Mus musculus: one gene and its partners. The protein of the gene in region 6 binds, or shares a complex with, the protein of the main gene of each other region. Links are inferred from orthologs where the notes say so. Each region holds a gene or a part of one and is shown on either strand. Other genes may lie near its edges. The genes, in order: Med8, Med20, Med12, Med4, Med7, Med13 and Cdk8.

The links.
Region 1: Med13 (region 6) and Med8 share a complex: the UniProt entries of both Homo sapiens proteins name them as parts of the mediator complex. The link is inferred for Mus musculus from reciprocal best matches to the Homo sapiens genes MED13 and MED8.
Region 2: Med13 (region 6) and Med20 share a complex: the UniProt entries of both Homo sapiens proteins name them as parts of the mediator complex. The link is inferred for Mus musculus from reciprocal best matches to the Homo sapiens genes MED13 and MED20.
Region 3: the proteins of Med13 (region 6) and Med12 are in contact, whole or in part, in a cryo-EM structure (PDB 8TQC), measured with the Homo sapiens proteins. The link is inferred for Mus musculus from reciprocal best matches to the Homo sapiens genes MED13 and MED12. Residues at the interface, in NP_005112.2 of Homo sapiens: Ser157, Glu158, Thr336, Val337, Pro339, Gln340, Ser341, Gln343, Lys344, Trp345, Lys347, Phe348, Asp1186, Ile1189, Leu1190, Gln1193, Asp1194, Pro1332, Ile1333, Thr1335, Leu1337, Tyr1340, Asp1341, Tyr1342, Asp1343, Tyr1344, Leu1345, Val1346, Leu1347, Ser1348; in NP_005111.2 of Homo sapiens: Ala3, Phe4, Arg12, Pro13, Arg16, Leu86, Thr123, Thr127, Thr150, Pro152, Val153, Met154, Arg155, Phe242, Pro278, Leu281, Arg282, Arg356, Pro357, Phe360, Gly361, Cys364, Gln367, Thr368, Cys372, Pro407, Glu408, Phe413, Val417, Lys1526.
Region 4: Med13 (region 6) and Med4 share a complex: the UniProt entries of both Homo sapiens proteins name them as parts of the mediator complex. The link is inferred for Mus musculus from reciprocal best matches to the Homo sapiens genes MED13 and MED4.
Region 5: Med13 (region 6) and Med7 share a complex: the UniProt entries of both Homo sapiens proteins name them as parts of the mediator complex. The link is inferred for Mus musculus from reciprocal best matches to the Homo sapiens genes MED13 and MED7.
Region 7: the proteins of Med13 (region 6) and Cdk8 are in contact, whole or in part, in a cryo-EM structure (PDB 8TQC), measured with the Homo sapiens proteins. The link is inferred for Mus musculus from reciprocal best matches to the Homo sapiens genes MED13 and CDK8. Residues at the interface, in NP_005112.2 of Homo sapiens: Thr1616, Met1617, Asp1618, Arg1619, Lys1621, Val1622, Gly1623, Ile1624, Pro1625, Thr1626, Asp1627, Gly1628, Asp1629, Ser1630, Val1732, Lys1733, Thr1734, Leu1735, Thr1736, Gly1737, Phe1738; in NP_001251.1 of Homo sapiens: Leu9, Glu12, Arg13, Arg71, Lys74, His75, Pro76, Leu81, Gln82, Lys83, Val84, Tyr133, Asp137, His140, Tyr141, Met330, Gln331, Phe335, Leu336, Leu340, Pro341, Thr342, Ser343, Asp344.

Annotation. Positions count from the first base shown.
Region 1 is NC_000070.6:118,408,062-118,412,136, reverse strand, and holds the start of Med8 (mediator of RNA polymerase II transcription subunit 8), read right to left. Parts: upstream 2,801-4,075; 5' UTR 2,757-2,800; coding exon 2,751-2,756; exon of another isoform or gene 2,588-2,750; intron 1,253-2,587; coding exon 1,134-1,252; intron 612-1,133; coding exon of another isoform or gene 564-611; intron 480-563; coding exon 335-479; intron 1-334. Other genes in the region: KICSTOR complex protein SZT2, read left to right, coding at 2,948-2,974. UniProt on the Homo sapiens protein: Component of the Mediator complex, a coactivator involved in the regulated transcription of nearly all RNA polymerase II-dependent genes.
Region 2 is NC_000083.6:47,618,085-47,621,584, forward strand, and holds part of Med20 (mediator of RNA polymerase II transcription subunit 20), read left to right. Parts: intron 1-724; coding exon 725-978; coding exon of another isoform or gene 979-993; exon of another isoform or gene 994-3,500. Other genes in the region: Gm20517 (predicted gene 20517), read left to right, coding at 725-978. UniProt on the Homo sapiens protein: Component of the Mediator complex, a coactivator involved in the regulated transcription of nearly all RNA polymerase II-dependent genes.
Region 3 is NC_000086.7:101,294,591-101,298,090, reverse strand, and holds part of Med12 (mediator of RNA polymerase II transcription subunit 12), read right to left. Parts: intron 2,250-3,500; coding exon 2,003-2,249; intron 1,499-2,002; coding exon 1,358-1,498; intron 1,173-1,357; coding exon 1,091-1,172; intron 905-1,090; coding exon 861-904; 3' UTR 1-860. UniProt on the Homo sapiens protein: Component of the Mediator complex, a coactivator involved in the regulated transcription of nearly all RNA polymerase II-dependent genes.
Region 4 is NC_000080.6:73,508,832-73,512,848, forward strand, and holds the start of Med4 (mediator of RNA polymerase II transcription subunit 4), read left to right. Parts: upstream 1-1,217; 5' UTR 1,218-1,229; coding exon 1,230-1,354; intron 1,355-2,323; coding exon 2,324-2,390; intron 2,391-4,017. UniProt on the Homo sapiens protein: Component of the Mediator complex, a coactivator involved in the regulated transcription of nearly all RNA polymerase II-dependent genes.
Region 5 is NC_000077.6:46,439,961-46,443,221, forward strand, and holds the end of Med7 (mediator of RNA polymerase II transcription subunit 7), read left to right. Parts: 5' UTR 1-15; intron 16-602; 5' UTR 603-619; coding exon 620-1,321; 3' UTR 1,322-2,761; downstream 2,762-3,261. UniProt on the Homo sapiens protein: Component of the Mediator complex, a coactivator involved in the regulated transcription of nearly all RNA polymerase II-dependent genes.
Region 6 is NC_000077.6:86,298,597-86,302,096, forward strand, and holds part of Med13 (mediator of RNA polymerase II transcription subunit 13), read right to left. Parts: intron 2,960-3,500; coding exon 2,869-2,959; intron 2,749-2,868; coding exon 2,534-2,748; intron 2,251-2,533; coding exon 2,054-2,250; intron 601-2,053; coding exon 1-600. UniProt on the Homo sapiens protein: Component of the Mediator complex, a coactivator involved in the regulated transcription of nearly all RNA polymerase II-dependent genes.
Region 7 is NC_000071.6:146,300,312-146,303,374, reverse strand, and holds the end of Cdk8 (cyclin-dependent kinase 8), read right to left. Parts: intron 1,800-3,063; coding exon 1,674-1,799; 3' UTR 501-1,673; downstream 1-500.

The DNA of each region.
Region 1 (4,075 bases), on a different chromosome or scaffold from region 6:
TTTTGTTTTGGTCTTTTGTGAATCTCTACCTCCACCCCTATTCTGGGGACCCAGGACTTTGTGTCTGTTCTACCACTGAGCTAAATTCTCAACCCCACATTTTAAAGACTGCAGCAAAGTCACAGGCAAGCAGGACAGACTTTTTTCTTTTTGCCTGACATAGATGTTGGAAAAGGAAGGTCGTGGACTTGGTGAGATAGGCCCTGATTTTCACTTCATTCTTTAAGGGGGACTCTCCTGACCCCAGAAGGATAAAAACAAGTCTTCCAGACGGCAGCCCTCACCTTTCATGGCCACACAGAGGATCCAGTCAACAAGATACTGTGTGTCTTACCATGAGGTCTTCGTCTCGGTCTGGGGACAGCACCAGAGGGATGATGACCTGGTTTCGGAACAGTGGCGTCTTCTCATGCTTTAAGACCTTGTTCAGAGTGTTCAACTGTCCAGAAAGCAATGCAAAGCTGTCCAGGACAGAGGGCCTGGAGGTGGCGAGAAGTCACCAGAGTTACTTCTCCCTACAAAGTAACCTCTAAAAGTCCTAATGCTGCAACACTCAGACTCACCCCGAAGACTCGCAGCCCTGTGTCTGGCATAGGCAAGAACCAGATTTGCTAGTAGAGATGGAATTGGGAAAGAGGAACACACTTTCAATTTTTGACATAGATACAGAAAAAAGGCAACCCACTGTTTGACTGGGTTTGGGAGCAGTGGAAACAGGGGCTGTGGTTACACTGTAGTAAGTCTGTAAAGCCTCCTCCCTAATGTAGTAACAGACTCTATCATTCCAGAAGGCTGGATCTCAGATCCAGCCTCATGTGTGGAAGGAGAGCCACCATAAATGGAGCTATAATGGTCTTCCACTGAGGAAATGCCTCCTCACTAAGGAAGCCAAAGCGTAAGAATTAAAACCTAGAAACAGCCTAGGTTGGGAAACTGGACATTTTTCTACTTCCTTGCCATGGAGGCTTTAAGCCAAACTAAACTTGTCAATGTTGGGCAACCTAGTTCTTTCCAAATCAAAAAGGATATTTGCAAGTTGATAAATGGGTACATCGCTGGAGATGTCCTGTCAGCCAGGGGGCTTGGCCCCACCACCCATGGATCCCTCCCCAGCTTGTCCTGGCAATCCTTACCAGGTCAGCCGGTCATACTCGTTTTCCAACTTGTAAATGAAACTCCCCAGTGAATTCTTCAGATCGGCCACTTGATTCAGCAGGGCATCTAATGATGCCTCAAGCTGCTTCTCCTCCCTCTGCATCAACAGTGTGTTTGGTTACTCAGATACAAGTGAGCGTGACACATTCAGAAAAGCTAAATTGTTTTCTATCTTGGTATTTGGGTTACAGATAGCATCAACCCTTAGACCTTTCAACCTGTTCACCTGGCCTGAAGTCCTCCTACTAACTGATTCCTCTATAACCCTCCTACACTGTGGTCCTTCAAGAAGGTCATTGCACCAGACCTAATTCTCTTTGGCTTGAAACCTCATGATTTGTCTTTGTAACAAAACTGGCTTCGAACTCACTTAGCCTTGCACCTTTTTAATTCCATGCTCTCCTCCTCCCAGCTCTCAAACACTGCCTCTCCCAGTAGACAACATTCTCTTAGATTTGCAGTAGGGTTAATAGGAACGTGCTCAGGTTTCTGCACACTCTTCTTTGTCAGTTCCTCTTCTGGAAAATAGATGTGGCCTGCCTACCTCACGACTGCTTATTGTCACTGCGCTGCTTTCCTTGGGTGGATGAGAATCCCTCGTGTCACTCTGTGGTGTTGGCATTGACACAGTTTTGTTTTGTTTTTTTCAGGAAGTTCAGTTCACCTCAGAAAGGTTTGCCATGATAACAGGGGTGCTATCTGCACACACAGCCTAAATAATTCCCGAAGTTCATTATATCATGGGTGCCTCTGGTCATCCTCTTGTGAGTGTAGCTACTGTCAACCACACAATCTGGACAATCTCACACGTTGCCTCTCTGTAAGGTTTTCTCTGAATACCAGCTCTGCAATCCCCTTCCCGGTCCCCCAACTGGCCGTTTATCCATAGCATTTGGTGCTTTGGAAAGTCAACGTGCATCTTTGTGCCAATATTCCCGTGTCTCTTTCATAATTCGGGTGACCCATAAACAGTGTAGGTTTATCAGATGCAACAAGCCAAGTGAGTAATGAAAGAGTAATGAAAGACAAAGGCGAGGAAACCTGCACATTGTTTCTGAGTGTTAGACAATTTTAAACGCTGAGGCGGCAGAGGGTTTCCGTTTGACTATCTGAGGACTATTTACCCCACTTCTCCGCCCTTAGCAACGAGGTACAAGCCGGGAAGAATGATGCAAAGCTGATTTGCAAACCTGACTATGTGACTGAGGGGGTTGGACACCGGGTTCCACCCACAGCCTCGAATTACAAACAGCTTAGTTTTCATCCTTGGAGGCCCACGATCCCTTTAGCCTTCTGAAGCCTTATGACGCCTGTGTCCAACAGCCTAGATCGAGGCGTGCGGCAGCCCACTACTTTCCCGAGCCTTCCCAAATGCCACCACGATCCTTTTCCACGCTCAATCAAGTCCGCCTTTCCTCCCCGGGCCTCCGACCTTCTCACATCAGCGGGCTCGATGCCCGCGCCTCCCGCAGCTGGCCTCGCTCTCTCTGGCTCCGCTGCCTTTCCTCTGCCCTCCGCTCACAGCCCCAACTCCCCGGTGTCCTCAGCCCAATCACCCTCCCGCCAGCGGCTATAAGGCCCAACCCGCTTCTCACCTGCATTGCCGCGGCCCGGCGGGCGCAACCACTTCCCTTTCCGGTTTCTCGCACGGCTTGCTGCGCTCACCAATCAGAAAACTCAAAACGGGACCATCCCAACAACTTCCGGTTCCTGCCCGGTACAGAACTAGCCGGGTCAGAGGTCAGGAGTGGAGCAACCTCCCTGGCCCGGGCCGGCGCGGGAGGGCTGTGTGATGGCCTCGGAGCGCCCCGAGCCAGAGGTGAGGGATGGGCGGGCGCGGGGCCGAGGCCCGAGGGCGGGCGTGTGGCAGCCTTCACCCTCCGGAGCCTCAAGGAGGCCGTTGCTGTTTTGTTTACTCAGATGCCATCCTGATCTTCGTCGCCCATCCACAGACTTGTTAGCGATAGTGATGCTGATAAAAACTCGTGTTTTGGTTATTAGTTGGGATTTTCATTGTGCCACGCCGAAGCTGACCGACTTTGCGGGGTTTTTTGTATCTCATCTATTGGAATGCAATCAATAGCATGAGTTGATTTCGCTCTAGCGTTCGTGCTCTTGGCAAAGCCCTACAACCCTCTGGCCAGTCTTAACTTAGGACAGACCCTGCTTCCTTCTTTATAAAAGTATTTGTTCTGTGATGTGGCTTGGGGATCACAAGTTAAGGCAGAAAAGGCAGACGAGGCACCCGCCCCCCCACCCCACCCCCCACCCCCTAGATGCAAAGAACCCTATATGTATGTTTTGACATTCAGACTCCAGCAGGGAATCTGGCAGTATTTATTGTCATGTACAGAGCAGACAACTGAAGTCAGAGCAGGTGAGGTGTCATGCCATGCAAAGATACCTTAGGACTACTCCTTCCAACTGAACGAGCGGATCCGAGGAGGTACCAAATTTGGCTAGCGTGTCCAGGACCCCAGAGGGATAGCCTTGTAGGAGGGAAGGTTGATGCATGTGCGTAACGATACAAATAGCAATGGCTACTTGTCGAATTCTTACTGTATGCCAGCCACAATTCTGAGCTCTTTACTGTTACCAGTTCTTTCAACCCTATAAGGCAAACACCATTATCATCCCTCTTTTCAGGAAACTGAGGTGCCACTATTAAAAGAAGCATAGTTGTGCAGCTAGTATTGGGGCTAGAACTCCCAGGTAGGTGAGCTCGCTCTACAGCTACAAGTTGTCCTCTGACCTGCACACGTGCACTCTGACACGGGTGTGATCTTATATATGTATAATGTATGAGTACACACACCCGTGTATGGGGAGGATGTGATAAACTACACACATGAAAACCCTATGAGTGAATAGGGTAGAAACAGAATACCAAGAAGAAAGGGTGATGTTTAGAGAGGCTAGG
Region 2 (3,500 bases), on a different chromosome or scaffold from region 6:
GGCAGAAAAAACTTGACTCAGCTTGACTGTGGTCTACTGTCCCAGCCTACTGTTCATAGGCTCCCTATTGCAAAGCCTCTGTAAGAGCATTTAGATTTCAAAGGCAGCATTGGCAGGGTCCAGAGAGGCATGCCGATGTTTCCCTTCTGTTTTATGGTTGAGGTTCTAGGGCTGGAACTCAGGATGAGGCCAGTATCTGTTACCGAGCAACACCACCAGCCCTTAGGGTTTTTCTTGTTTTGTTGAAACTATAGATGATGATATATAAGAGCTTGTCTATAGCCGGGCGTGGTGGCGCTCGGGAGGCAGAGGCAGGCGGATTTCTGAGTTCAAGGCCAGCCTGGTCTACAAAGTGAGTTCCAGGACAGCCAGGGCTATACAGAGAAAACCTGTCTCGAAAAACCAAAAAAAAAAAAAAAAAAAAAAAAAGAAAGAAAGCGTCTGTCTATGGGTTATCAATCATGATAAAAAGTCCTCGTATATACATACATACCATTCAACTCTTCTCAGCACCCAAGAATTTTCTGGTGCTCGTAGGGTATGTTTGGCCTCTGTTGTCTGGCTGGCTTTTCCAATTACCCGCATCTCTGGAAAAGGCTAGCACTTAAGGATCCTTCCCTCTCAGGCTGCCAAACTGCCAGCTGGCCTTGTTTGGTGCACTTGACCTATCCCGGGGTGTGTTGACAAAGGTCGTGATGATGAGTGGGCCATCTGTCCCTTGCAGGCCAGGCTGGGAAGCTGATGTACGTGATGCATAACTCTGAGTACCCACTGAGCTGCTTTGCCCTCTTTGAGAATGGCCCTTGCCTCATTGCTGACACCAACTTCGATGTGCTTATGGTGAAGCTCAAGGGCTTCTTCCAGAGTGCCAAGGCCAGCAAGATTGAGACCCGGGGCACTCGCTACCAGTATTGTGACTTCCTGGTGAAGGTGGGCACGGTCACAATGGGGCCCAGTGCCCGTGGCATCTCTGTGGAGGTAAGACCTTGGTGAAGGACAAGCAGGATATGCTGTGGGCTCCACAGTAAGGATTCTGGAAGCTTTCCCAGCCCCACTTAGTTCAGGTAGACTCAGACAGTATCGTCCCATGCTCCACTGCAGGGGTCCTTTTTTGGTGGCTGATTTTTTTGCCCGGTGGGAGGGCTGGAGGTGGTGATTCATGTCTCATGCCTTGGACTTACTATGTAGCCAAGGATGACAAACTTAATGTTGCTCTCTTCTGTCCCCGAGTGCTGAGATTGCAGCAGTGTGCCACTCTCCCCCGCTTCTTTCTTAGGTTATGCATTTATTTAGACAGTTTCATTTGGCTTGGACTCTCATTCTTTGTTTGTTTGTTTGTTGTTGTTGTTGTTGTTTGGACTCTTCATTCTTATGTCTTCATATGTTTCACCTTGCCTGGTTTGTGTGGTGCCTGAGATGCAGAACAGACCTTGTGCTTGCTAGGCAAGTACTGTACCAACAAAATGCTATATCCTCAGCTCAAAAAAAGAAACAGAACCCTGTCCCAAAACAACAACAACAACAACAAAAAGAAACAGAAACATATATGTATATGCATGCATGGGGTTATAGGAGCTTTCTTTAGGAGATTTTTTTTTTTTTAGATTTTTTTTTTCTGAATATTGGGTATTTTGCTTGCATGTATGACTCTGTAATACATGTGTACAGTGCTCACAGAGGCTAAAAGAGGGCATCTGATGCCTTAGAATTGGAGTCAAGGACTTTTTAAAGTTGTTAGTCCATATGGGTGCTAGGAACCAACCCCAGGTCCTAAGAGCAGCAAGTGATCTTAACTTTTGGGCCATCTGTCCAGCACTGCTCTAGGGTTCTTCTATCTTTTCTTTAGTCATTCACTCTCTAACCCAGAATTGAAGTGGGTTCGCAGCAAGTAAAAAGCTTAGAGATGCTCACTTGCTGGAAACTGAAGGCATAGGCAAGGAGAGGAGGGGAGTGAAGATATAGAGACCAGCACCCTTTCCAGGAAGGGCTGGAGTACCAGCTCTCTGAGGGTGGTCTGAGGTGGGCTGTCAGTCATGTGCCCATGTGTCCCTCCTTAGTATATGTTATGAGTGGTCTCCAGAGCTGTGGAACAAACTCTACTTTTCCCTTTGGCATCTGTCCACTTTCACGGTGGCCAAGAATGTGTGTAGAAGATGCCTTTGTCAAAAAAATGATTACACTTGCTTATGGTGGGCGTAGATGTAAATGCGCCATAGCACACTGACAGAGATCAGAGCATCCCGTTCTCTCTTCCTACCATGTGGGTCCTAGGGATTGAACTCAGGCTAGCCGGCTGGGTAGCGAGCATCATGACTGGCTGATGGCCTGCAACATTGAACCTAAATATGTGGTATTGAAAATGACATATGGAGAGATAGCTTTAGAGTGAAAATCCATAGCCTTCCATGTGTCCCGCATGGACTGAGATTTTAGAAACAATAAAACAAGATAGAAGCCTGCAGGGCCTCCCTTTTGAAAATGTATCATTTAGTAAGCAAGCGAAGCTGAAACACAAACTTTTTTTTAAGAGTATGTAAAGTTTATAACTGTTCAAGTATAGTTTCTTTTGTAAAAAGTGCTACAATAACAAACTACATTTAAAAAGAGTTCTTAGTAGGGAAACAGTAAGTTCTATGAGAACACAGACTAGCACAGCACAGGCTAACACTTTGTGCCTGGCTGGACATTAGAGGTTAAAGGTCCTGGGAGGGAGCTCCATCCTCAACTTGGAAGGCGAAGCCTTCAGGGGGAGTTTCTGGCACCACATTTTGGTCTTCCTCCGCTGAGAAGTACTTCTCCATTAAGTTCAATGAGGCTTTGTAGACAGACTCCTTTTCATGGCTTTGTAGTGCTTCAATTTTATCCAAGGCTCCATACTCTTCAATCATTATACTGAGCTTTTCTGTCTCACCTAGTTTCTCGGCAGCCTGAAAGATATTTGAAATGGCATCAAGAATAACCTGAATAATCTTGGTATCTTTTGCACTTAAGAGGTTCATCAAAGGTTCTGTTATCCCACAATGAACGAGATACACAATCTGCTCAACAGTCCCACCGCTGGTAGAGTTGGTTATAGCCCATGGCCTCCTTCTGTGTCTTAAAGTCTGCCTTAGAGAGGACACCAACAAGAAAGGGGACTAGGCCGTGATTCACTACTTGCTGTATCTGGTTCCTGGTGTCCAGCTGTAATGTAATGTAATGGTCCATGTGGCCTCCTTCTGAATATTAGTTTTGGGGTTTGTTAGCAGGCTGGGAAAGACTGCAAGTGCTCCTGCATCTATCACTTTCTGAGTCTGCTCATCTGTTCCAGTGACAGTATTCCCTTTGGGTCTTAGAGCGGGAGTCACAGTGGGCAGTTCAGTGGCTCCTAGAAGCTTCACAAGTTGGGGAACAACTCCTTTCTTCACAACCATCTCAATGCGCTGCTTTGGACCATCAGTCAGGGAGGAAATGGCCCAGCAGGAATCTGCTAGTACTTCTGGGTCATGGTGGTGCAGGAG
Region 3 (3,500 bases), on a different chromosome or scaffold from region 6:
CAAAAGTGACTCTGAAGGAAATTTTGGGTTGAGAGTGAGAAACAGTCACTCTGGGAAACTGCCAAGGTGGGTTGTATGAAAACATGGGGTTCCAGCAGGTCAGGGAGAAACAGGTGTGGCATCCTGCTTGTCTCTCTTCCTGCTAGAACTAGTCGGAACTTCTGTCACATCACATGCCATCTCATGCGCACAGACAGCAACTATTTAGAAATGTTCCCTTCAGAGAAGTTCTCTAGTTAGCTTGGTGTATTTGTGGGGACTACATGAGACGACACAATGACAGGCATTGTCTGGCATCTCTACCCTACTCTCATCTGGAGTGTTGTGGAAGGATGATGGGGTTGCACTGGTTTCTCTCCAGCCCAATGAGCCCCCCCTCTAGTGGCACATCCCCAGTGGGAAAAAGGCTGTCATGAAGCTGCACTGTTGAGTTGAGGACCAAGGGCTTGGAGCTCATTCGGGTTGCTTTCGAGCAGGGAACCAAGTGTAGCAGTGCAGCGAGAACTCAGAAATGCAAAGGCAGAGGGTGAGGAGGGAGACGATGCAGAAGGCATGAAGCTTCTTAGTGATTCATCCTTTCCCCGGTACTCTCACAGGAGACCCTTCCATGTGTACATTCACACACTTCTTTTGCAAAGAAGCTCTGTGTATTGAGTGCAGCAGCTCTAGGATCTCTATATAAATAATATACAAAACCCAACAGTTCAATGTTTCACATTAACAAAAATACTAAAAATTCATTAAAAATGGAGCCTGAGGGAAGGACCCCAACCACTACTGGAGCTCGCCCAGGAAGGGGACTGGGAATTAAGCAGAAAGGCTGGGCCACATCCAGTGTACAAGCAGTTCCTCCAGGTGACTCAGTAGCGTCCAAATATGTTGGTGCTGGGCTGTGGCTGGGTATCTGTGAAAAATGAGAGACTGTCAGGGTAGAAGGGCTCATATTCATAAGGAAAGCTAGTGGGCTGGGAAGGAAAGGGGAAGGGGGAATGGGACCTCCACAATCTGGACCTGAAGCGAGCACCTCGGCCACCTCTGCCTACCCCATCCCCTCTTCCCCAGATTCTTCTTTGGAAGGATATAGGCTTACTAGAGAGCTGTTGTTGAAGTTGCCGGACCAAAGCTGCTGTCTGTTGCTGCTGCTGGGTCTGCTGCAGGCCCTGGCGCTGGAACTGGATTAAAAATGGAAAGTGGAAGATAGAACTCCAACTTTCCAGCTCCTTCACCCATTTTAACCTATTAGTGTTATCCCTGACCTCCCAAAGCTACCCCATTACACACTGTTCCTAGTGGGGATTGGCTATGTGCCCATCCTGTGCAGCTAGCCCTGAGCCTGTGGCTATAGATCAGCAGCTACCTGGGGCTGGGACTGGGGCTGGGGTTGGGGAGGAGCTGCCTGCTGCTGCTGCTGGTGTGGCTGCTGCTGCTGCTGTTGCTGTTGTTGTTGCTGCTGCTGCTGTTGCTGCTGCTGCTGCTGTTGCTGTTGTTGCTGCTGTTGCTATAAGCACATAAGAGATCATTTTAAGAAGAGCAATGGAGCTGGGACTTTGTGTTGAAAAGATGGGAGCAGGAAGAGGAAAGGGAGTTGGAGCCAAGAAACAGTGAGGGAACTCCAGGTCCACAACTGAAAGAAACCAAATAGTATAACTGACAAAGACTGTCCAATTTCCCTCCTCACTATGATTCTCAGGAAATGAAAAGAAAAGGAGTCGGGAGGAAGCCACTTAAGCACCAATGCTGAACCCATTATGAAGGCATAGGCCTATAATTCCAGCATTCAGAAAGCTGAGGCAGGAGGATTGCCATGAGTTTAAGACTAGCCTAGGTTATAGTATGAGACCCTGTCTGAAGCAACCAAAGAAAAGCAAAGTACTAACATAGGTCAGCCATTGTGCTCAGTGCTTACTACATTACCTCACATTTCATCTTGGGGATAGTGTGGGAAGAATATGTCCTTTCTTTCTTGAGTTCTCAAGTGTCTGACACAATCCCATGGCCTTACCCGTAGCATCTGCTGCTGCTGCTGTTGCTGTCGGATATGGTACTGCTGTTGTTGTTGCTGCTGCTGCTGCTGCTGTTGTTGTTGCTGCTGCTGCTGTTGCTGCTGCTGCTGTTGCTGCTGCTGCTGTTGTTGTTGCTGCTGCTCAGGCAGGATGGAAGTTGAACGGACGCCTGCCTGGACACCCTGGGCACTCAACGGAGTCATGGTACCCATCATGGGTGTCTGCTGCAGTGTCTGGTGTGAAAACCTCCAAAGACAAGAGGTCCAAAGGTCAAAGCACAGGGCAGGGAAAGGGGGTGGTGCAAACCCTGGGTCCCTGACCTGAAAGAAACTAACACGTCATTGTATTCATTCGTCTTGGCACTAATGAGAGGAGCCCTTTTGGAGTCTGACAGATTTCTAGGTCAGAGAATAAAACACAAAGACAATACTCCATTTTACTGTCTCATAACCTTAATGCTTAGGAATTTTTAGAATCTGTTTTAGCTATTTTTCTCTCATGAAAAACTGTCTGCACATGATAAACATTCTATAAACACCTATCAAGGGTTTTATGGCTGCTGTTGCTCCCCAGAAACACACCCAGTTGTTCTGCTATTCCATATGCCCTTTCTACCTAAATCTGCAGATCCCTGAAAATCTGCAGCTGGGCTCCCTCTCTTCCGTCTTCTCACACCTTCCCCTACATTCCATCCATTCATTGCACACTAACCCCTTAACACACCAAGCCCTTCCTATCACTCTCCTGAGCAAAGCAGTCCTTTCTGGTTGTGTCTCAATGCCATACCTCAGTATTCAATGTCATAGTCAACTTGCCCTCTGTAAGCTAGGCCCAGCTCCCTCTCTAGCATCCATTCCACACTACACTTAAGATCTGCTCCTTTCTGTTGCCACTCAATCCAGTCCCATGTTTTGGCTCATGCTGCATCCTTTACCTGGAATGCCCTTCCTTTTCCACTTCTCTACAAATCGCAATCGTAGTTATCTCAGAGAGTCCATGAGTCCTTCTCCAGTGACTCTGATCTATACTGGTGGTAGCCCACCTCTCCTCAAGTCCCATTTTCCTCCTGGTACCCAACTGAACACCTGATTATGGCTTTGTTCATACCATTCTCTAAAGGTTCCTCTGCACAATATCTTCTGTATAAGACCTCTTCTTCTCAATTAGGGTAAAAAATCTTTGTGGTGAGGAACCATGTACTTCTTTTTCACTATCTTTCCTCACTCTAGTCCCTGCATAATGCTGGCTACAGAGCAGGCAACTAATCAGGCCACTCGAGAGTATTCTACAGCCTAAGTTACAGAGCCTCAGGACAGTTGCCCAGGTCTTAACTAAGATTTGACTAAAGTTAGCCATGAAATTCATTTGTTAGTCCATTCTAGAGCTCAACTGCTTTTTCTTTCCTTGAGAAAGGGTCTCATGTAGCTCAGGCTGGCCTCAAACTCATTATATAGCCCTGGATGACCTTGAACTTCTGATCCTCTTCCCTCACCTCTT
Region 4 (4,017 bases), on a different chromosome or scaffold from region 6:
GAAGTATTATTCAGACTTCAAGGGAGGGGTATTCTGGCACCTATTCCAATGTACATGAACCATGATAGCATTATGCTAAATGAATCAGCCTGCTATAGGGGCTCAGCATTCAGTAGGCTGTAATGAGAAAGTGAGTTCCTTCTTAGTTTAGGACTAGTTTACACAACAAGATTCGGTCTGAAAAGAAGGAAAGAAAGAAAGAAAGAAAGAAAGAAAGAAAGAAAGAAAGCAAGCCAACCAAACAAAGCCCAAATCCCCCAAAACCAAAAAATAATAACAAGCAAACCCCCAAGCCCCAAACTAGAACATGTGATTCTACTCATTCAAAATGCATAGAATAGCCAGACAAACAGAAAGTACAGTGTGGTTTTCAGGAACGGGAAGTCAGACCTTCATGAGCACACCTTTTTTACATTTTACAAGTTGAAGAGTTTTGGGGATGTTATTTAGCCGCAATTTTTTGTTTGTTTGTTTTGTTTTGAGACGAGGTTTCTCTGTGTAACCCTGGCTGTCCTGGAAGTCACTCTGTGACCAGGCTAGTCTCTAACTCAGGAGATCTGCCTGCCTCTGCTTCCTTGAGTGTTGGGATTAAAGGCATGCCTCACAACTGCCTTGCTTAACAGCAATTTAGTGGCAGTGAACCCTACACATACAATGGTTAAGATACTGAATTTTAGTAGCGGGGCATGGTGGTACACCCCTTTAACCCCAGGACTCGAGATGCAGGCAGATCTCTTGAGTTCGAGACCAGCCTGGTCTATAGGCCAATTATATGTATTTTGCTACCAAACAACGGAATGGGGAGGGAAGAAAAGATTTTACTTCCTGCTCTAAGTTTACTACAACTTCACGAGAGACCAAACTTGATGGCTGGGATTTTATCGGAATACAGACAAAATAGAAGTTAATAATTATGTAATTTCCCCAGTTTAAAAAAAAAATCTTTTGTTAGAAGCCTTCCACTGATGCTGAGGAAATAAAACCCAGGAGACTGGGAACTGCATCTCTCATCCTGGGTCCGGTTGGAGCATGTCAGATTGGAACGAGTCACAAGCCCTCCTTTGCCCTGTAGATGGCGCTAGAACTGTAGTGCACCTCCAGGCACATAGGCGGCGCTCTAGCCGGACCTCTCCGTCCCGACCTCTATTACTCTTCTTTCCTTCTTCCGGTTCCGCCCCTCCTGTGGCTAGCTCACACTGCGCATGCGACGGCTGGTGGTCAGCGGGGCGATGGCGGCTTCTTCAAGTGGTGAGAAGGAAAAGGAGCGGATGGGAGGCGTTTCGGGAATGGCCGGCCTTGGCAGTACGCGAGAGCGGCTTCTGTCTGCGCTGGAAGATCTGGAGGTCTTGTCGAGGTAACCGCGGCCCGGGAGCCTGCTCCGGCCGGCTCGGCTGTGGGCGCTGACTTGGGTAGGCGGGCTTGGGAGGCTCCGTTGGACGTGGGGTCTAGGGCCTTCGGGGGCTTTGGGCCGCATTTCCCCGCCAAGGGGACATCTCAGTCACATGACCTGGAAACCAAGGCAGTCAAAACTTTAGTAGCCGGTAAGAGGGGCAGATCCGAGCCCCCTCAGTCATTGACACGCAACAGACATTTAAAAGCACGCTTCCCCCCAGTAGTCAAGGGGAGGCTAGATGCCAACACGAAGGAGCCCAGGGTGACAGGAGAGACAAATGTGTTAAAACGCTATGGACCAGATTTCTAAGGGTTGAGCCGCAGCCTCCTGCAGTCCACCGATGGGATTCCTATTCTGGTGGTAGCAGGGCACACGTCCCCAAGAAATGGGCTGCTAGTCAAATCAGATTTGTTAGGCGTCTGATAGATAGCCCATCATCTGAAAAAGCCTGGAAACATCAGGCAGGGCACAGTGGGGTTGGCTGGTGTGTGGCCGAGATAGAGTAAATTGGATGTCACACTCCACATCGTCGTGATAGTCTTAAATCTATCAGTTGAAGTCTTATCAAGGGAAGGCAGCCATGGCCACCGTCTTACAAGAAAACATAATTTACACAAATGGCAGCACTATTGGCCTACAGACCTACATAGTTGAGTCAGGAGGTTTTCTTGTAAATCACAGCTGAGTCTTTATCACGTGCAGTTAGCCAGCGAATGCTGAAGTGTTTGTAGTCACCATGAGAGTCCAGCATGTTAGGAGGACCATAAACCCAACAATCGGTTGGGGCAGGGAGCAATTTAAACAGTTTCTTTTGTGTTTCTACTGTGTTATGAAAAGGTTTCACTAGATATCTGAGGCTGGTCTGAGTCCTCCCAAACACTGAGTTTACAGGCAAGTATCACCATACCGTGATGGGTGTTTTTCTTTTAGGGAACTCATAGAAATGCTTGCAATTTCAAGAAATCAGAAGCTATTACAGCTGGAAGAGGAAAACCAGGTAAACTTTTTGTTGTTGTTTGTTTGTTTTTTATTAAAAAGTTATTAATGCCGGGCAGTGGTGGCTCGCACCTTCAATCCCACCACTTGTGGGGGAGTGGCAGGTGGATCTCTGACTTCCAGGTCTACAGAGGGAGTTCTAGGGCAGCCAGCACAGATAAACCCTTTCTTGAAAAAAAAATAAGAGAGATAAGTTAATGTTTGAAAGTTCATATTTATTTTGTGTGAGAGTAGGGATGCTTCTTGAAGTCTTTTAAGTTGATACTTAAAAAAAAAAAAAAAAAAGCATTATTTTATTTTTGGGTTTTTCTGAGATTGTCTCACTGCCTGTTCTGTAATTCCGTAGACCAGGCTGGTCTCAAACCCACAGCCCTTGGCCTGCCTCTGCCTCCGAGTTCTGGGATTAATAAAGGTCCGTGTCAGTGTGCCCGGCACATTGATACTTTTCTTTATAGCACTTATGTAACACAGTGCCTATGAAAGTTCCCAGCCATACATAGTGGCTCACACCTTAAATCCCAGCACCGGAGTGTCCCAGGGAGACACATCGCTGTGAGTTGACGTTCTTCCTGGTCTGGATACAAATTTTATTCCTTACTTTTGAGTTAATCAACACAACCTTACAAAATGGAGACAAAGATAGAATGCTGGGAGGAAGTTGTTATTATAAACACCTGTATGTTGCTGCTTTATCCCCGTGAAACTTGAATGGAAATCAAAGATCCTCTCACTCTTACACGCTATGTATACTGTTCATCCATTCTCTTTCCTTTCCTTCCCTGTGCTTTCTTCCTTTCTCTTTTTGGAGTGTGTGTGTGTGTGTGTGTGTGTGTGGAGGGGTAGTGTTCAAGACAAGGTTTCTCTTTGTATGTAGCCTTGGATACTCTAAAACATACTCTGGTCACCACAGGGTCATAAGAGTGGGTGAGCTGCCCTGCTTCCTGATGGCTACAGCGCTTAGGAGAATTGACGCCGCACCTCACCAGGACGGCACAGTAGAGCTGTCCCTGGGTGGGGGAGCATAGGTGACCCAGCCCCGAGCTGGCCCAGCCATTCATCTACTGTGAGGTTTCCTGGGTGTGGGGGGGAATGCCCCTTACCACCTACAGTAGTTGAGAGAGCTGGCCCTGCCCCTTGCTGCCTGCAGCACTTTGGAGAGTGGGCCCTGCCACTTGTCTGTTATGAGGTGGTGTGGGTGCAGGGGTGATGCCCTCCCCCTCTTCCCCTGTCATCTGTGGTAGTCTGGAGAGTCGGCCCCAAGGCATGAATATAGGAGACTTAGCCTTGCCCACTCCCTAGCTGTAGCACTCAGGAGGGTGGGTCTGCACCACCTGAGCTAGAGCTGATGGTGAAGGTATGGGTGAGCCAGCCCTTAGGGTGTGAGAGCAGGAGAGCTGGCCCAGTCCCTTGACTGGGCAGCACAGTGGAGCTGGCTCTGGAGGAGTGTGTGCAGGCGAGCTGGCTGCTGCCAATGGTGGCACTGGGTGGCCTATTGGGAGTAGTGCTGAGAGCTCCCTGATGGTGCAGATAACAGGGAGCTGCCACCCAGGCCCAGATCCAAGTGTATTTTTCCAGTGTCATATCTCACACCTGCACCCTTTGGGAACCGCCATCCTGCCTCCTTATCT
Region 5 (3,261 bases), about 40 Mb from region 6:
CTGCTCTGGTCTTAGGTTGGTACTTTTTTCTCTCATCAGTGAAGTTTCATGACACAGTAACAAATGTCACAAGACCCTCTCCCTCCCTCACACCCTGCCCTGCTCTTCTCCCCCCCCCCCCCCCAGTATACTTTGCCCGGTCTGTTTTTGAGAAATTGACAAGTCTTCCGTGCTCTGGAAGGATTGTTTTGTTTTTGTCATTACTGGTATTGTGGGTGCCTGTCTTCCACTGAAATGTGGCCTATATCTGAAGATTTTTCCCGCAAGCCCCAGTAGATAGAGAGCTAATGTGGGCTGTCCCAGCTTCCATTTCCCTCAGACATTCTCTATAGAGGAAAAAGATGTAGCTTTTGTTTTATTAACTACTGTTGAAAACCCTGAGGAAATAAAGGAAAATACATGGATGTTAACATAATATTTAATTAGAACATAATTGATAGCTATTCACTGCTGTAAATGTTAATTTTAAAATCTAAGATCATCTTGTCTTGGACTGTGTACTGTCAGAAAAAGGAAGAACATATTCTGAAGTCACTAATTGGGGGCAGCAGGAGGAAGGTGGTGTTCATGATTCTGTTCTGAATCGTGCTCTGTTTCTTTAGGTTCTTGATTGTCTACAATGGGTGAACCACAGCAAGTGAGTGCACTTCCACCGCCTCCAATGCAGTACATCAAGGAATATACAGATGAAAATATTCAGGAAGGCTTGGCTCCCAAGCCTCCTCCTCCAATTAAAGACAGCTACATGATGTTTGGCAACCAGTTCCAATGTGATGATCTTATCATTCGCCCTTTAGAAAGTCAGGGCATTGAACGGCTTCATCCTATGCAATTTGATCATAAGAAAGAGCTGAGAAAACTCAATATGTCTATACTGATTAATTTCTTAGACCTTTTAGACATCTTAATAAGAAGTCCTGGGAGTATAAAACGAGAAGAAAAGCTAGAAGATCTTAAGCTACTTTTTGTACATGTACATCATCTTATAAATGAATATCGACCCCACCAAGCAAGAGAGACTTTGAGAGTCATGATGGAGGTCCAGAAACGCCAGCGCCTTGAAACAGCTGAGAGGTTTCAGAAACATCTGGAACGAGTCATTGAAATGATTCAGAATTGCTTGGCTTCTTTGCCCGATGATTTGCCCCATTCAGAAGCAGGGATGAGAGTTAAAGCTGAGCCGATGGATACTGATGATAACAGCAATTGTCCTGGACAGAATGAACAACAAAGAGAAAGTTCAGGTCACAGAAGGGACCAGATTATAGAAAAAGATGCTGCCTTATGTGTGCTAATTGATGAAATGAATGAAAGGCCATGAAGAATATTCCTTTTTTTCCTTTTAGTAAGTAGCATCATATATTAGTTTATTTCCTCTCAGACAGTCTTAAGAGGTATAACTAAAGATACTAAGAGACTTTTTTTCAATTGAAATGCTGTAGGTGGTAATTTAACACTAAACATAGGCCAGCAAGTATATTTGAGTAATTGCCATAAAAAAGCTGAATGTTTGCTATTGTTTGAGATAGTCCTATTTTTTGGAGTTGGAATAAAAACTTGAAGTAATAACGAATTGTCATTCTTGGAAAAAAAGTTATTTGCTTCGAGACTAATAAAGGGCATCAAGTGTACATGTGAAATTATAAAATGTTTAGATTTATTCCAAAATAATATAGAAAGTTTATTTTTCTGATTACTGTTCCAGCAAACTCAGTATCACAGCTTTTCTCCTCCTTATTCTCCATAGAATATTTGTTAGGGACTCTTTTTTTGCCCCAGTCAGGTAATGATGTGGTTATGATCCAATTCTATGAGAAATGTACATACTTCACCTTCACAGATGGATACAGGCTTCCCCCAAAAGATAACTCTATTGAGTAGCTATTCAGTCTCAACATAGCTTCTTTTCTGGTTTGTGTTTGCTAAGACTATCCTAGTCTCTTAGCCATCATACCACCCTCAGAAGAGTCTTGCTTCCAAAGTAATCTAATCAGAACACCTTGTCCAGTTTATATCCTTTTCAAACACATGTATATGTTGGTAGCACAGTTCTAATCACAAAGCTACCCACAACTCAATCCGTCTTTAGTCATTACAGATGAGGAAGTAGAGGTTCAGAGAAGTTGACTTAACCAACTAATAAGTGGCAGAATCAAGTTAGAAAGTAGGTATTCAGTTTCATAGCCAAAGTACTGAACTTCATTCTCTATCCTCTAGTCTGTCATACTGGAAATCATAACTAGAGCTACTCCAGTTTTCTAATCTTGAAATCCACCCTAGTAAATACCTCATGACACTAGACTCAAGAGGATACATTTGTTGATTGGAAGAATGACTTCTCTTTAAACATACTCAGGAGGCAGGGTTTGTTGGTTAAGACTTCCATATCTTAAGATGGTGCTTGTAATTCTACCTAAAAACCCTTCTTAGTAGGTAATGTTCCTAACTAAGACTCATAAGAATTAAAACTTCACATTTATGGTTTGGTTGGGCAAGAGTCTATGTGGGATAAGAAATCGGCAAAGATTTTTCTTGTTTTGCCCCCTTCTCCCTTTTTTGGTTCCTTGTCATCTTCATCTGGTGGTAAACTTACTGTACAGCCATTTAATAGGCATTGAAAGGTATACAATTTCTCTTTCATAATACTCATCTATGGCTTGACAGCAGTCATAGACAATAGGTAAATGAAAGCACTGCTCTAATCCAACTCTCATATATGAACAATTGGAATAAAATATGGACGCTGAAAATTGAAACTCAATTATCCAGGAATTTTGTGAGATATTTTGAGTTTTTGGGCCACCTAAATGTAAATTTCTACACTCTTGGGAGTTGAAAATCAGATCACGGAGTAGATTTGGCTGATGGCCTACATGGTTTAAATCCTGAAACATCACTGAGATACTAATGGAGGGGCAGTAGGTAAGGGTGCTAGCTTAGAATTCATGGTTGAAGGAAAGAATGGACTCTTGAGAGTTACAGTGAATACACTACAGAAATAAAAACAGCAAAATCTCCGTAGAATTGTTTTAAGGATTGAAAGAGATAACAGCTAATATTCTTACCACTTGTTAAAAGTTTTACTTATTTTTGGCATTTGTAGCCCTGGCTGGCATGAAACTATATAGACCAATCTGGCCTCAATCCAAATCCTGCTACCTTAGCTGCAGTGTTGGAGTTCTAGGCAGGTGTCACCACACTCAGCTTCTGGTTTTACTTTTCATTTGGAAGTAACTGGGAACAATTATGGGGCTCCGTGTG
Region 6 (3,500 bases):
AAACGTTTTTCTGCTTCTTTCCCACAGTCTGTGTTACGTCCTATGATGTCAAGTTCATCTTCAAGAAATAATCCTGAATTATTTCCAAATTTTCGGTTCATGACAGCACTGAAGCCACAGGTGCACCGATACTGTGCTTCTTGGGTTGGGTCTGGAATGTAAACTCCAACATCGGCACCCTTGATATTCATATTGCAGACACAAATACAGCAACTATCAAAATTACAGTCTTTAAACAAATTCATTACTGATTCTGAAAGGATGAGGTTTACATAAAGACTGTGCGCTTCAGGGATGGAAGGAACAGTTGCAGGTTCAACAGAATTGAGGGGTCGGCATGTAGATGGGGTGGAAGCTGGTGAATACAAGTCTGAATTCTCATACTTGACTGAACCTTGAGCACTAGCAGGCCCACCAGCCCCACGAGGGGTCCTTGGAGTCCTTGGAGTCCTTGGAGTTGGAAACCTAGGGGTGGATGGGGAAGGAAGAATTCCTGCACCACCATTACTAGGAGGTGCGCTGCTCGGAGGCATCCCAAAAGAAGCATGGGTTTGCGGTGTGTAGGCGGGGCCATAGTCCTGATCCAAATTACTGCCATCACTGTTGTCACCAGGGTAAAAAGAGGAACAAATGCATAAAAGAACACATTAATATATGGAACACAAAACAGCATCCTCCATACACTTCCAAGCAACACTGGACATTTCTATATGGTAATCATTACAAGATTACAGGGAGAAATAAGACTTATTTCAGGTTTACTGTGAGCACTATAAAGATTCTTGTGAGCTAACTAGAATCAAAAATAATAAGCAACCAGATTCAAGATTATAAAATGAAGCAGTGACTAGAACTATGGCTTGGGAGTTTAAAATATTTGCTGCATTTTGGGGGGCCATAGGTTCAGAGGTTTGGTTCCCAGGACCCATATCAGGAAGCTCATATCTGCCTATTAACTCCAGTTCCAAGGTGTCTTGATGTCCTCTGGTCTCTGTGGGCACCTACACATATGTAGTGCACATGAAGTCATGTAAGGATACACAAAGACTTAAAAAAATTCATGAAGCATCCACATCTGGACAACCATATTTACTATCTATAAATTTCTAATGCTACAAATATCCATACTTCATTGACTCTAATTGCTACTGATAGCAAAAAATAAATTCTGACTTTTGGGATGTTTGTGTTAGAAAGTGGTAATAGTGAATGTTTTGCTTTGATTTTTTGGTTTGTTTTTGTTTTCGATTTTCTGAGACAGGGTTTCTCTGTGTAGCACACCCTGGCTGCACTGGAACTCAATCTATAGACAAGACTGTCCTTAAACTTGATCATCTACCTCTGCTTCCTGAGTGCCACTATGTACCACCACTGCCCAGTTGGCCATAGTAATTATAAAAATGTGACTGGTAATAAAATGCAAAACTTTATCTGTTATGATGTGAAGTAATTGTAAAATGGCAGTATAAAAAAGAGGACAATTCAGAATCAAAGGCTAAAAGAAAAGGTACCTTGAAAATCAAAAATGGTCTATGGTTTCTGGTCTATGGTCTCAAAGAGTTAATCCATCTCTATTATCATTATGATAAACAAGAATCATTTTAAATTTATTTACTTAGGATTTCCAAAACCAATGTTCTATTTCCAGCATACCAGCTACTTCAAGAAAAACAAAAGCTGAGCTGCAGAAATGGCTCAATGGGTAAAAGTGCTTGCTGTGTAAGCTGAAGACATGAGTTCAGATTCTCAGATCCCATGTGATAAAGCTGAGCATGACTAACTAAACAAGCTATAATCCAGCACTTGGGAGGCAAAGACAGGCATATTCCAGGAAGCTGCTGGTCAGTCTGCTTCAACAAAACACCAAGTTTCAGATCCAATGAGAAACCATGTCTCAAGTGAGTAAACGGCAACACATGTGGCTCGTACTCATGCAGAGTCTCCAGTGCCGCCCTCTAACACACACGGGCACTCACACACACGCTCACACACACGCTCGCGCACACACACCCCACACAAGCAATCAGTATTATAATAACATCATCAATCATACCCCTCCTTGATGAATGGCATTGAAGGGCCTGAAGGAAGCAAGTCCAATTTTCCAACAGTCCAGCTCTGCCGGTAAACACACTCTTCTGGCAATTTGATAGGAGGCAGACAATGGCTTGGTAGAGTTTTTAAAGGTGCAAACATGGAACATCCTACTAGAACTTGACAATTTTCGGGCTTATAGACATAAGAAAAATCCTACAATATAAAGAACGGGGACTTTCAGTGCCTTATATTCCAGGGACAAAAACAAAGAAACAGAATCAAAGCGACTATCTTCTCTAGCCTGTTCTTTAAATGGACAAAAGTATAAATATTATCTGTTTTTATTCTTGAATGCATTTTACATAGTGGTCCCACAATTCCCTCCTCATATTTATTAGCCATAACACTAAAATCAACTGTGAAAAAATTCTTAAACACAGCAATTAATCCTATAAGAAAACACAGGGAGGAAATGACTTTTCTAGAAAATACTTACTTTAATTTCAGACGGTTTAGGGCTACAGAATCCTTCCTCGACCTCGATTCTGAACTGCGTTCCTACACTAGAGCTATTTCCTTCCAGGACAGTCCCTCCGGGTGCTGTGTCCACACTACCGTATTCTTTGTTATTCATATTCATTGGAGAGAAGCCCATAATGTGCTGTTCCAGTGAGGGTGGCGTGGGGTACATTTTGTGGAGGTCTGCAGTGCCTGTGTGTAGTACAACACCCATGTTAACAAACTAAAAGAGGTGAGTCTGTTTACAGTGAAGGAGTTTTGAAAGGAGTTAAGTTTTTAAGCCAAGCTGGAGCTCAGATTTGGGATGCTTACTTATGCAGGACAACGGATCCAGATTTCCTGTCTTTGATTCTTTGGAGCTGGCTTTATCATCTGATCCACTTGCTGACTTTTTAGATCCAGGCTATGGGGGGAAAAACATATTAATGTGAAACCCAAAGTGATCACACAGTATTATTCGCTTATATGTAAGTTAAAGGATTAAGTACTGGTCATCAAAAGTGGTTTTCTGAGTCTACGACAGAGCTAAATATCATACTAGACAGTTTACAGGTAGATCCATCACTGGAGTGCATTGGTAAGTCTTGGGATTAACAGAGAAAAGGGCATCCTCAGGAAAATAAGCAATAAACAAGTAAAAGGCAAGAAAGGTAAAATTAACACAATTCTTTTTTTAGCAAAAGATATTCAAAGAATCTGTCCCTTAATTTAAAAGATATTAAGATTTCCTAAATAATTAATAACTCCTCTTAATTCTTTAATTTTCACCTTGGTTTAATAAAGTTATTCTAGCAAAAATATTTTTACAGATCTAATACTGAGCATAAGTTCAGGGAAACTTCCTAACAAACCAAGTTTTAGCATCTCTCACCACCAACATTTTTTGGTGGATTGGATTGTTTGTTTTTTGAGATAGGTAAAGCCTTATATAACCTAAGTAGGCT
Region 7 (3,063 bases), on a different chromosome or scaffold from region 6:
CGTGTAAGGGTCATAAGAAACACCGTGAGAGCTAAGGTTGACAGAAACCAAACACAACCACTCAATTCAGAGGGTTAAGGAGGGACCTGTGTGATCAAAGGCATGCAGTATGGGTGTGAACAGGGGTGAGAAGACTTGGAAATGCCACTCCCAGCAACCCCCCTTTCTCTTCTGGTCAGGCCTACCAGTACTGATTCCTCAGCTCGTGGACTGCGCTAGATTGTTTTTAAAGGGATGGCTTCAGATTTTGAGAAAATATCTGTTAGCTCTAAAAAGGAGGAACCAAGGGTAACGGAGTGGAACTACCATTACCAGAACTAGCCGACTATAAAGCTACCTGTCCCCTGTGCTACAGACCTAGACAGCTGACCAGAGTGCACACCTCAGCCTAAGCCATCAGTTGTCACCAATAAGTCACTGGGAAGAGTTATACAGAGGCATGTTTTAAAATACAACAAAAGACCCTTGGTGAATTTGAAAAATATAGTTGACACCATACATTGATTTATGAAAAATAAATTTATTACATAACACCTTGTTTTTAACAATGTTCAATTTTTTTTTATTCAGAATACTTGTGTCATTCATGTAAAATAGTTTGATACAGTACGTTGTATGTTATAGCTTTTTATTTTCCCCTCAAAAGTTCTAAGGCTCTCCTACTCCCTCTCCTTTGCTGAAGTAAGGGCACCCTAAAAATGTGCGAACAACCTTTTAAAAAGAAAGTTAACTGAACAAAATTGTAATAGCACTACACTAGGCAGCTTCAAATCAGGACAGAAGAGTGCGGACTGACGCCGTGCCTCGCAGAGGTCACCGTGCCTCGAGGAGGTCACCGTGCCTCACGGAGGTCGCCACTCATGCTTTTGTATTCAGAAAGCATGCTCACAAATCAGCAACACCAACGAGGAAAAGAAAACCCTGTCTGCAACACTCATTTCAGTTTGCTGAACCAACAGGCTTCTATCAATGACAACATATTTAATTACTATCAAATAGCAGCTTTAAGACCAGTCAAGTCGTCATAGGTTGAAAATAAAAACAAACCTCTAAGTTGGAAATTAATCTTTGGGAGCTCTGAAACCTGTCAGTAGAAACTATGTGGTTCTTTTGTACTTTCAAAACAATCCAAGCAATATTCTTGGTCATAAAACACTGATTTATGTAGAAGATGAATCAACCCACTGATAAGACACTAAAAAGAAAGGTGTACCAAAATAATCTTTAAATCTTGGTTATTTTGTTAACATAATCTGTGTTTCAAGTACCAGTTAAACCTTGCGTCTGTGTGTACTATTGGTCAGATCACGCTGTTACACTCAAAGTCACCACACACGAGGACAAATGCTCGCCCTAGCACATTTCACAGCTTCAACTGCTACAGACTGTCACTGAAAACTATGCTTGGTCAGTCTGAACCATGTCAAGTAAACTATGGAAGTAGCAAACCCACAACACAACTGTGCTAGCACTTTCATTTCAAGTCTAACTCCAAACTTAGGTACAACCTGGAAGCTACCACCCCAATCTGTGACAACTGGTGGAACTCGGCTACTGGACATTGTGAAGATGTGGTTGTACAGTACATTCGCATGGCCCACACCAGGTTCCCGCGAGTGCCGCAGCCAGTCCTGCAGCATGAGCAACAGTGCACTGACAGACTCCAGCACAGCTCAGTACCGATGTGTCTGATGTGAGTACTGTGGAGGCTGCTGGGAGGTAGCTGAGTATCCCATGCTGCTCTGGGGCTGTGATGTGCTTGGTCCAGGGTTGGGATAAGCAGCATGTGGATTGGAACGCTGGAAAGAAGACGAGGGAAAAGCGTGATTCAGGGACTTCTCGAGGTAGCTTGGCCCCACGCCATCAAGGCTGATAGGGAAGGGAATCTTGTTTCAAAGAAGCAAAGATGTATAAGTTTCTGTAAGGCACTAGCTTTAGAATTAAAATATAAAAACACTGGCTAAGCAGCAGCAAACCCCTCAGCTGGCCCATACAAAGCAAAACAGAGCAAAAACAAACAAAGCTCCCAACTCTTCCCACATCAGCTTCTCTCCAGGAAGGTAAGAATTGGGACACCATGTGGGCAATTCTGATCATATCTTGCGACATGAGCATGAGGCACTCAGTGTGTATATCCAGAGTATATAAAAGCTCGTAGGCGGACTGCAGAGATGGCTCAGCGGTTAAGAACACTGACTCTTCTAGAGGTCCCGAGTTCAATTCCCAACAACCACATGGTGGCTCACAACCATCTGTAATAGGATCTGGTGCCCTCTTCTGGTGTGTCTGAAGACAGCAACTGTGCACTCACATATATTAAACAAACAAACAAACAAACAAACACGTATTTAACAAAACAAAACAAAACAAAACAAAACAAAACAAAAAAAGCTGGTAGGCATGGTGGCTCTCTGTAATCCCAGCACTTGGGAGGAAGAGACAAGATCTGTAGGGGAAGCTGGTCGGCTAGACTAGCTAACATCTGCAAGCTCTGGGTTCAGTGTAAGACACTGCCACAGTAAACAAGGGAAAGACACCTGATATCAACTTAGGGCCTGAACACACACACACACACACACACACACACACACACACACACACACACACACACCACATTCTTACATCCACATGCCTGTGTGCCCACACATATAAAAACATACACAAACTCATACATCCTTCATGAGCTGCATTCTACCATGTAAGGGCACTTTCTGTGCAGGGCTTCCCCAGGCAGGCCACCATGTTCAGAACACACAGCCACTCAGTCTTCCCACAGCTTCACATTCTAGTCACTGTTTCTACTCTGCTGCTGCTGATGCCGTCTGCAAGCGATTTCTGTTCTACCTTCCTCCCCACACTTAAGACATGGAGAACATCCAGGTCTCTCTCTTACTCAAGGCTGAACAGAAGTAGGTGGGATCTAAGAGCCCGTGGCCTTGACTCCTCTTCTACAGTGCTCAGGAACAAAAGCAGCCATTGGCTAAGTTCAAGGCACACATGTTTAAGCTGACTTACCAACTTCATTTTATAGATGAGAAACACTGAAGCTGTGTTTTGCTTCAC